2 linked regions of the Arabidopsis thaliana genome follow. The protein of the gene in region 2 interacts with the protein of the main gene of each other region in a biochemical or structural test. Each region holds a gene or a part of one and is shown on either strand. Other genes may lie near its edges.

The links. Proteins that work in one complex are often made in the same cells at the same time.
Region 1: the proteins of TIP2 (region 2) and TSPO form a complex in vitro, tested with the Arabidopsis thaliana proteins (one study listed by BioGRID).

The regions. Positions count from the first base shown.
Region 1 is NC_003071.7:19,565,620-19,570,773, reverse strand, and holds TSPO (TSPO(outer membrane tryptophan-rich sensory protein)-like protein), read right to left. Parts: upstream 2,311-5,154; 5' UTR 2,074-2,310; coding exon 1,483-2,073; 3' UTR 1,267-1,482; downstream 1-1,266. Other genes in the region: AT2G47780 (Rubber elongation factor protein (REF)), read right to left, coding at 1-293, 375-698; ALG3 (asparagine-linked glycosylation 3), read left to right, coding at 2,553-2,718, 2,818-2,852, 2,930-3,067, 3,174-3,242, 3,420-3,577, 3,646-3,712, 3,808-3,861, 4,051-4,139 and 5 more. UniProt on the Arabidopsis thaliana protein: Stress-induced membrane protein that can bind heme and may play a role in the transport of tetrapyrrole intermediates during salt stress and contribute to the detoxification of highly reactive porphyrins in the cytoplasm.
Region 2 is NC_003074.8:9,721,060-9,726,698, reverse strand, and holds TIP2 (tonoplast intrinsic protein 2), read left to right. Parts: upstream 1-2,794; 5' UTR 2,795-2,995; coding exon 2,996-3,382; intron 3,383-3,554; coding exon 3,555-3,929; 3' UTR 3,930-4,256; downstream 4,257-5,639.

The DNA.
Region 1 (5,154 bases), on a different chromosome or scaffold from region 2:
TCGCCAACGTAACGAACCGCATCGTTGTACTTCTCTGACCAGTAAAACGCCGTGGGGATCACTAAATGCGCAACTTCAGGGAACAACGGCAGTTGATTCAGTAAACGCCACAGCGTCGCTGCGTAATACTCTGCCGCTGGCTCGTACTTGTCCCGGACGCTTCTTGCAATGCTCTTGGTAGTGTCCACAACGCCGGTGCGCTGCACCTCCGTGGCCACCGTGAGCGCTTGGCTAGAAGCTTGCTTCACCAATGACGGAACATATGTCTCAACATCGAAGAACACATCGTCCACCTGAAAACCAAGCAAATCATTTGCCTCTCACTCATGAAACCGAAGCGATATTCAAGTTAAGAATTACATTCTGATTGTTACCTTACGATCGACGAAAAGGAGAAGCTTGAAAGGAACGTCGTGGAATTTTTCGTATAATGGAGCAAGCACGGTTCGAACGCAATCTTCAATGTTCTCGACGCCGAGTTTGAGTGGACCAGCGTTGTCTTTAGCCAACTCGTAGAGGGTCGAGAAACAGGCGGCGAAGTAAACCGCCGCGACTTGAATGAATTCCAAGTGCTTGAGCTTCATCTCATCGTCGTCTTCCACCACTAACGAAGGCGAAGACGAAGAAGATGGTGGAACTGGAGTAATCTCCTGTGGCTGTGATTGCTCTTCTTCGACTACTATTTCATCTTCAGCCATTGTCAAAGACTTGGTGCCGTTGCAGACAAACGAACCGCTCTCTCTCTCTTTAAAAAGACTTATATCACACCGGACGGCTCAGATTTGAAACTGGTGAGCCACGTGGCATGTTGCTGCCATGCTCCATTTTAGTTTTAATTTAAGCGAAAGGGATTGGATTGTGAGAGACGAGTGACCTCTAGGACAGCTGTCCTATTGACAGATGTCTTACTCTTAATGGACCGTTTTCAACACGTGTCGAGGTATGGGTCGAGACTGTTGCACGAAAGCCACGGCCACTCCGTCGGCACGAGTCTCGAGGGTAAATCAAAAAAGCACAAGGACCTCTCGTTCGCTATCATTCATCCACTTTTTGTATATTCCCTCCAAACCTTACATGATATCATCACGTGTTAAAATGGATTGGGCCCTAATCCTCGAGTTCCTATATTAATTTTAGGTTTACCACTGACTGAGAAGCCCACAAAACAGTGTCAACGGCCCAACCCAAAACTGATCAAAGTATAGTTGGCTTTACCGTTTGAATTTGTTCCGTTTCGGCGACATAAAAGTAAAACGATCGCCTTTTAAGAATCTCACAGTTTGATTTCAGACCAACGCTTAAAACTTCTACAATATCACATTATTTCTCAAGTATATCATGTTCATGTCTATTACTCCACAATGACCAGACCATTGGATCGCAAAGACATCTTTTATGGTATATATCACAAAAAACAAAAACAACAAGAAACACTCATATGACTCAGACTCTACAAACATCATCGTATAGCGTTTACAGATCTCACGCGACTGCAAGCTTTACATTAACAGCGGCTACAAAGGCAGCCCAAGCCAAACACGGCTTTACCAGATTACCAGCGACCGGACTTATCTCATTAAAGGCCTTGTAGCATCCGAATAACGCAGCCGATTGACCCAACCACACCGCAAGCCCCGCTACTCCCGACCCGACGCGGAACGTAACCGGATCCCAAACCAAACAGAGCAAAAACTGAGCTAAGTAAAGATACAGAGCATTGGGCTTCTTGTGGAAGCCACCGTCAACCCATACAAGCCACGCAGCCAAACCCATCAGACCACTAGAAGCGAGACACGTTGTGTGTAGGAGCCACAGAGGTGGGATCCACGACGAGGACTTAGCTCGATTCCCGTATCCGTCGCTTGTGCCGAGGAAATACGTAGCGAAGAGCGTCACGAGCACAGGAGCCGCAACCGCTACCGTCAGAGACTTGAGACCACGTTTCGCCATCGCCCTCTTTTGATCGCGTTTTCCTTTGTTGTCGTCAGCGCTTTTCCTCTCTGTCTCGGCCATAGCCGTCGTTGCAGCGTCTCTGTCGTCTCCGCCGCGGTATCTGATGTCCTGAGAATCCATTACAAACGTCCAAAACAGAATCGAAGGAACAAGATTACTGAGATTTGAGATGTTGGATAGATGGAGAAGAAGCAGCTTGGTCAAAAGAGAGTATAATCAGGAGATGATATTAATAGACAAGAAGAAGAAGCAAAAAGGCCAAGGCTCTTGTACACGTGGCGAGTGATATGTACACGTCGAATGCTAATTAATTGTTTTTTGTTTTTAGATAACTTTGTGAAAAAGTGTGGACACGTGCTTACTCTATATGCTCATGTCTGATGCATACACACAGTTTTGGGACGATTGCGATGCTTATTTATTTATCGCTTAATACTTTTGCATTATTAAAAAATAAAACAACAATTGGGCTCTACACCGACTAAGACAAGAAGCCCAATAGGCTCATTTAATTTGGGCTAATTAGAAGAGTAGTAATATGGAAGTAGTTGTCTGTTACGCGGCGTTGGCTAGACGCTGATGCGATTTGCTCTGTTTTCATGGCGGGCGCCTCATCACCGGCGAGTTTGAGAGCTTCTCGTAGCCGTCGGCTGGGGAAGGAGACGAATCGATCCGATCTATTCAAAAAACCTGCAGTTCCATTCGCATTCGCGCTAATTCTTGCTGATGCAATCCTAGTCGCACTTATTATCGCCTATGTTCCATGTGAGAGCTATTTACCTCCTTTTTTTTTTTGCTTGCGTATCCCTCGAAATGTGCATTTGCATAGGTTTTAAACCAAATTTCGTCATTTGCCTTTAACAGACACGAAGATCGATTGGGATGCTTACATGTCACAGGTAAGTGTCAATGGTCAACTGTGGTTTCTTCAAAGTAAACTAGTAGTCTTTAAGTGAAATTTATCTAATTGGGGCAGGTTAGTGGGTTTCTCGGGGGAGAGAGAGACTATGGGAACTTGAAAGGCGATACAGGGCCATTGGTTTATCCAGCAGGTTTCCTCTATGTTTACTCTGCAGTGCAGAACTTAACTGGAGGGGAAGTCTACCCTGCTCAGGTGCTTGCAATTCCCTCTCTTTGAATCTCCTATCTTTGGATTAGCTGCGGAATTTGATCCATCCATCGCTTCATTTGTCTCAATTCTACTCTCTTACATTTTGCAGATTCTTTTTGGTGTTCTCTACATTGTCAATCTGGGGATCGTCTTGATCATCTACGTGAAGACTGATGTGGTATAAATGAAGACTTATTTCTTATCTCTTTTCATCAAGTATTTGTAGACGTTGTCAAGCGTTGTCCATTTACGATGTTAATGAACAATATTTTGGTTTTGATTTGTCTGTTTATGATGGGAGTGATTTTAGTGAATTCAGTGATGATATCTCTTCTTGTATCCTTACGTATTTCAGGTGCCATGGTGGGCATTAAGTCTACTATGTTTATCCAAGAGGATACATTCAATCTTTGTTCTCCGTCTCTTTAATGATTGTTTTGCCATGACTCTCCTACATGCATCAATGGCTCTCTTTCTCTATCGTAAATGGCATCTAGGGATGCTTGTTTTCAGGTTAGATTGCTGCTTTTGCTTCTCGATTCTTTAGATTGACTAGTCTGCTTACCCTTCTTTTTATACAGTGGAGCTGTTTCTGTAAAGATGAATGTACTTTTGTATGCTCCAACTTTGTTACTTCTGCTACTTAAGGTATATATGTTCGTGGAAGAGAATTAGTTTATGGATTTGCTTTATTATTCTTCTAGCATTGTTTTTCTTCATATGTGAAGTTTTACTATTCACAGGCCATGAATATCATTGGAGTGGTGTCTGCTTTGGCTGGTGCAGCTCTTGTTCAGGTTTCACTATATCTCTTATAAGCCTTCTTATTCACCAATTTGTATGCGTAGCATTGTTTCTCCAAGACAATTTGGAAACTTGTTAACTGTAGTTTCTTCAATGTAAATAGGTGAGTTGCATTATCCAGCGAATTATAGTTTTGATTATGCAAGAAGTACCATTCAGCTGGTCAATGAATGGTTATACAGATACTCGTGGGACTGCCGTTTCTGATAACATATCCGGTTTCATACATAGCAAACGCCTTTGATCTTGGACGTGTTTTCATTCATTTCTGGTATTGTTCGCTTCTCTCCCGCCAAATCTAAAAAACATGTTGATGGGATCTAAAAATGTCTTTTGACCTCTAACTCTAGTTTGAGCTCTCAACAGGTCTGTTAACTTCAAATTTGTTCCAGAACGAGTTTTTGTGTCCAAAGAATTTGCAGTATGCTTGCTCATTGCTCACCTTTTTCTCCTTGTGGCGTTCGCAAATTATAAGTGGTGCAAGTACGTACAATCATAAGGCAGCTGCAATTTGAAAGCAGTTGCAGTTTGTGTGTTTAGCATTAGTTGTAATTAATATGTTGATTTTATAGGCATGAAGGCGGGATTATAGGCTTCATGCGTTCTAGGCATTTCTTCTTGACACTTCCGTCTTCACTCTCGTTCAGTGATGTATCAGCCTCACGGATTATTACGAAAGAACGTAAGCTCTTACTGTTATTTTAGCTTATGTTTCCCTATGTCCATACTTACAGGCATTCCACTTGATTCGCAGATGTCGTCACGGCCATGTTTGTTGGGAATTTCATCGGCATTGTATTTGCTCGCTCTCTGCACTACCAGTTCTACTCATGGTAACCAAATAACCTGGCTAAATCTTACGTTTCTCGAACATTCTTAGCCTCAACCCCAATACTCATATGATCATAACAGGTACTTCTATTCGCTACCTTATCTACTATGGAGAACACCGTTTCCCACTTGGCTGCGGTAAGTTATTTCTGCATTTCTTACTGTAACAACAGTTAAAATATCAAAACCTAACTCGTCTTCTTGTTTTTCTTTTGGCTGTAAAAGCTTGATCATGTTCCTCGGCATTGAGCTCTGTTGGAATGTTTATCCATCAACACCGTCCTCCTCGGGTTTGCTATTGTGTCTACACTTGATCATTCTGGTGGGTCTCTGGTTAGCTCCTTCAGTCGATCCTTATCAGCTCAAAGAACACCCTAAATCCCAAATACACAAAAAAGCATAACTGAACCTTTTGATGCTCTTTTTTTTCTTCTTGTTTCCAAGACTTAGAGATA
Region 2 (5,639 bases):
AGATCCAAGTGTACACCTAGAGGTTCCACCAAGTTAGTTGCGGAAGGCCCAAAAAAATTGCACTCCTTAATTGTCTCGCCCCCGGGATAGTCGTTTTCGTCGTTGTACGCTTCCCCTTCACTGAGAGAGTCGTAAGATTCAGTGGCTAAATTAATTGACGGTAACCCCAGATTTTTAAGTAAATCTGCCTCAACAACAGTTGAGTCTTCTTCCTGCGTAAATAGATGTCTTAGTACTGTAATGGTATATTCGAGTGGCTGAATTTAATAAACGCAGAATATTTTACCTGATCTCCATCTTCAGTCGCTGTGTCCATACTTTCAGTCGTTAACATCGGGGAAGCTGCCTCAACAGCTGGTCTCACAGGGTGTTGTTGTACGTTGGTAGAAGAGTCTCCAACGTTTTGACCTTCTGTTTCCGTTGAACGCATCCAGCGGAGGACCGCCTCGTCATCCATAAGCCTTTTCCACACAACGGACTCGTAGTTAGGTGATCGTTCAGCGTTGACGTATAAAGGTGATTTGCCTTTATCTGCAAATCCGTAACTTGAAGTCTGACTTGTTCCACCATCTTCGGAACCATCATCCACCGTTTGCTTGGAGACAAACAAACTCAAGTCCTCCAACTCAAAACGCATAGCTAGAAACACTCCCATTGTCTCCTCTGAAGTTATGCTTACTGGCTTCGTGCGCCCACCAAAGGTAGTTTCCATGTCCATCCAATCAGGCCATTGGTAAGTCAGGTGTAGTGGGCCTTCAACGTATTCCTGTCCGTACGCTTCTCTAACAAGCTGGCGCACAGATGCTAACTTCTCCCCTTCCCCAATGCTCAACCTCCTCACTGCATTATTGTGATTGGATATGAATAACCATGTTCCATCAGCTCCGATTGCCCAGGAGCCACTCACCGTCCTGACATAACGATCGTCGGTTATTTCGGTTATAACCACCATCGGTACCTACACATTAATAGAGTTGCATTAAATAGAGATAAATCAACCATGAGTTTTTTAAAAATAGCAACAAACCCGACCAAAAGAACATTCATTAATTGCATACCAAAACAGAAATGATCGAGTTCTTCGATGTTGTTGGATACGTAGTGTGTGCTTTATAGGAAGAAGTAGAGGTGTGAGAGATGATATCTTGCCATCTTTCTTCTTTTATAGAAAAGGTTAACTTTGTTTTTTAGGGCTACAGTAACTAAAGATATTTCTAGTAACAGTTGCTTAACCATTTGCAGCCACGCGAATTTCAAAACGGTATGATTTCCCTCCCAACACCCGAGGGAGGCGTGAAGCGACAATTCACGAATGTCAAATCGAAGTGGTAAGCGTTCTTTATTTGTATTGCATGTTATCGTCAAAATAACCAGGTGATTTACTTAGTCTTTGCTTTACACATTTTCGTGAACCGAGGTAGTATATCTTCTGCCCCCACTTGCCTATTCGTAATCTTGACGTCATTGACCAACGTGTCAACTTAACGACCTGCCATTCTGTAGCGTATAGCATAAGCACACAAACCTTGCTTTACACAATTAACCAATGTCAAATCGAAGTGTTAAGTGTTCTTTATTTGTATTGCATGTTATCGTCAAAATAACCAGGTGATTTACTTAGTCTTTGCTTTACACATTTTCGTGAACCGAGGTAGTATATCTTCTGCCCCCACTTGCCTATTCGTAATCTTGACGTCATTGACCAACGTGTCAACTTAACGACCTGCCATTCTGTAGCGTATAGCATAAGCACACAAACCTTGCTTTACACAATTAACCAATGTCAAATCGAAGTGTTAAGTGTTCTTTATTTGTATTGCATGTTATCGTCAAAATAACCATGTGATTTACTTAGTCTTTGCTTTACACATTTCCGTGAACCGAGGTATAGATTCAGTATATCTTCTGCCCCCACTTGCCTATTCGTAATCTTGACGTCATTGACCAACGTGTCAACTTATCGACCTGCCATTTTGTAGCGTATAGCATAAGCACACAAACCTTGTGTTAAAAAGTGCTACACTAAAGAAAAGGGTTTACACATACAACAATATATTACGTTGGAAGCTGTATATCCTCTGACGCCGCATTAAATGCGTCTGATACGTATCTCCATCTCTCTTTGCTCGCGCTTTTTATTGTCACATCCGGGAATTTTTCTAATAATTTTCTCTTATGTTTTCTTTCCAAGTTGCTCCGATATGATTATTGTGATTTTAAAACATCACATGTTGTTTCCGTAGTACTTGTGCTGTTTACCAAATCGTAGTACTTCTGCTGGTCATAGATTCAAGGTAAAAGCCCATTCACCTTGTTGAATAATCAATCCAGTACAATACTCACCCGAAAAAGTTACCAGCCCAATATCGTGGTATATACTCCATTTCAATACTAATTTTTTTGTTTTTTAATGATTATTTTTTTAAAAAAAAAATGAAATAAATCCTTTCATAGTACATGCTGCTGCAGTTGTAAATTGCATGTATTTTATGAAACGTTCAGTACAAACTTAGAAAGTTGTAGTAATGAAAGCTCTAAATTGAGATCTACACTCATAAATAGTTCATGCTTTATTTAGTAGTAACTGCATAAGTAATGCATGCTTTTTTTTTTTGATACGTTGTAATCATTGCCCTACAATCTCTAGCTCCCCTACATCTACAAGTCTGCTGTCGGGAATATGGTTTTGCCGCCCATCCGTAGAGGCTATATCGGATATTTCGCATGGTAAAAAAACGTTATATACCCAACTTTTCTGGGAGAAGGTCATTCTCTTAATAAGGATGTCAAATTTGGTCATTCAGTAAATTAACCCTTAAAAAAATGCAAAATAATTTGTTTATGTGACAAAGAAATGGATTTTATCTATAACTATCAAGAAGAAGAAAACACTCGGCTATATATATACGTACAACACATAAGAAAAACAAACCAATCACTTCACTCTCTCTAATCAAAAAGCTTTTAACCTCAGCCGTTAAATCTTTCTCCGATCATGCCGACCAGAAACATCGCCATTGGTGGAGTCCAAGAAGAGGTCTATCACCCCAACGCACTTAGGGCGGCGCTCGCTGAGTTTATCTCGACTTTGATCTTCGTCTTCGCCGGCTCAGGCTCCGGAATTGCTTTCAACAAGATCACTGACAATGGAGCAACCACTCCTTCCGGCCTCGTCGCCGCTGCCTTAGCTCATGCTTTCGGTCTCTTTGTCGCTGTCTCTGTTGGCGCTAACATTTCCGGTGGCCACGTTAACCCTGCCGTTACCTTCGGTGTCTTACTCGGTGGTAACATCACTCTCCTCCGTGGTATTCTCTACTGGATTGCTCAGCTTCTTGGCTCCGTCGCCGCTTGTTTCCTCCTTAGCTTTGCCACCGGTGGCGAGGTAACGTCACTTACACCTAATTAGATTTTAGTAGTATTTTCGATTCTCTGTTTCTCTATTTTGTGGTTTGGTTTAAAACTAAATTCAATTGAATATTCCAACTAAAATAACCCGTTTGACCTAACTTCTCCGGCAAGTAAATAAACCTTTTTGCAAATGATTGTTTTTTCAGCCAATTCCAGCGTTCGGTCTCTCTGCCGGAGTCGGATCATTAAACGCTCTCGTCTTCGAGATCGTGATGACCTTCGGGCTCGTCTACACCGTCTACGCCACAGCCGTTGACCCCAAGAACGGTAGTCTCGGAACAATCGCACCAATCGCCATAGGTTTCATCGTTGGAGCTAACATCCTCGCCGGTGGAGCTTTCAGCGGAGCTTCCATGAACCCAGCCGTTGCTTTCGGACCAGCCGTCGTAAGCTGGACGTGGACCAACCACTGGGTTTACTGGGCTGGTCCTCTTATTGGTGGTGGACTCGCCGGAATTATCTACGACTTTGTCTTCATCGATGAAAATGCCCACGAGCAATTGCCTACCACCGATTACTGAAGACGTCAAATTCAACGTTGTTAATCTGATGAATTTTTCGTGATTTGCTTTTTTAATTTGCATCGTAATGGGTTTCTGGCCGTTGGATCATTTTTAGATGAATCTTTGTCTATTGATTGATCATTTATGTGTCTTTGGGTTTGTTGTTGGAGTTGTAATATCTCTGGAAGGCTTTTGTGCAATTGTATTGTACGGTTTAATAACTATAATTGAGAAAACCAGGGAATGTGAATTATGAAAATGAATTTTTTTGTTATTGTTTATTTTACTTAAAGAGCCCTAACTAATTTAGATCATAATTTACGAGACATGGAAATTTTAATGAATAATAAACATTGTGATTGATATTTTTGGTTTTCATTTCCGTTTTTTATATTTTATATCAACACACTACAGTAGTACATATTTACACATGATTTATGTCCAGGCTAAAATTGTATATTAAGCGTTGAAAAATCATCGAGTGTTACACTTAGGAGGGGTTCGACTTCCATGTGTAAAAATAATACTAGCAATTCGCAAATAACTTTACAAACACAAGTCATGACTCATGAGCTAAGGTTCAAATTACTTTGGGTTGCAATGTATGCGTTTCATTTCTATATCGTTCCAATCACAGCATTATTATTTCCTTCTTTGTGAGTCTTCTTCCAACATTTCGGCGGGAATCTGTAGGGAGATTTTCGTCATTCGGATTTCATTTTGTTTGGTTTCAAAACGTGAATAGCAATAGATGGATGGGAATAGATTCGCTAAAATCTTTGTGGGGTTAATGGATAATAAAGTTCGTGAAACGTCTGGACAGTATACGAACCATCTACCTCTATAACCAACCCCACAGGCCATAACAGTATAACATGATTCATGATCAAGAGTTCTGCTAAAAACAAAAAATCAATAGTTCTGCTAAAAACAAAAAAAATTAAGAAACTCTTCCAAACACATATGAGCCTAATTTATTAGGGACTATGCCAGAACCAAAGTATCAGTTATCGTAAATCGTAGATCCAAAATTTTTAATCGTTCGGGTAAACATAAAAAATACCAAAAAACCAACCCAAAACAATACAAGCGATTGAATGTTTAAAACTAAAAAGTTGGATTAAAAGCGACGCATGCATGTGGAATTGTGGATGGTGGTCTAATACATTGATCATTTTTTTGTTCTTCTAATAAACCAGCTTGATTTTTGATAGTTTGGACGTAAAGTTTGCTAAGATAGATTAGAACTAACAAAACTAGCTAACTCTAGGCTTACCAAACCACGAACAAAGAATCAAAGACAATAATGCAGTTCATATATACGATCTATGCAATTACCATGTGCAACGTTGGACCATTCGTACACCGCACCATTACTTAATTGTTCCTACCTTCCTTTTTGTTCTTTCTATATAAATCTTTTCCATATCCTGCCACACACTAATCCATATGTCTTCCCATTGACGGCATTAAAAGAAAAAGAGAGAGATTGATGTCGATAAATTCTTAGATAAACACAAAAACCAACACATGCAAACCTAACATCTATAAGAAACCTTGAAATCAGTTATCTCTAACCTTATACTTAAATTCTTCTAATTTTGGTTTTCTTGATATTAGTGGACAAAACATTTGCATTATAAGGTAAAAAAATGATAGTAAAATAAAACATTTGGTTCGGTAAAAAACTATGGAGTACACTTACACTTATTGACTGAGAGCTATTCT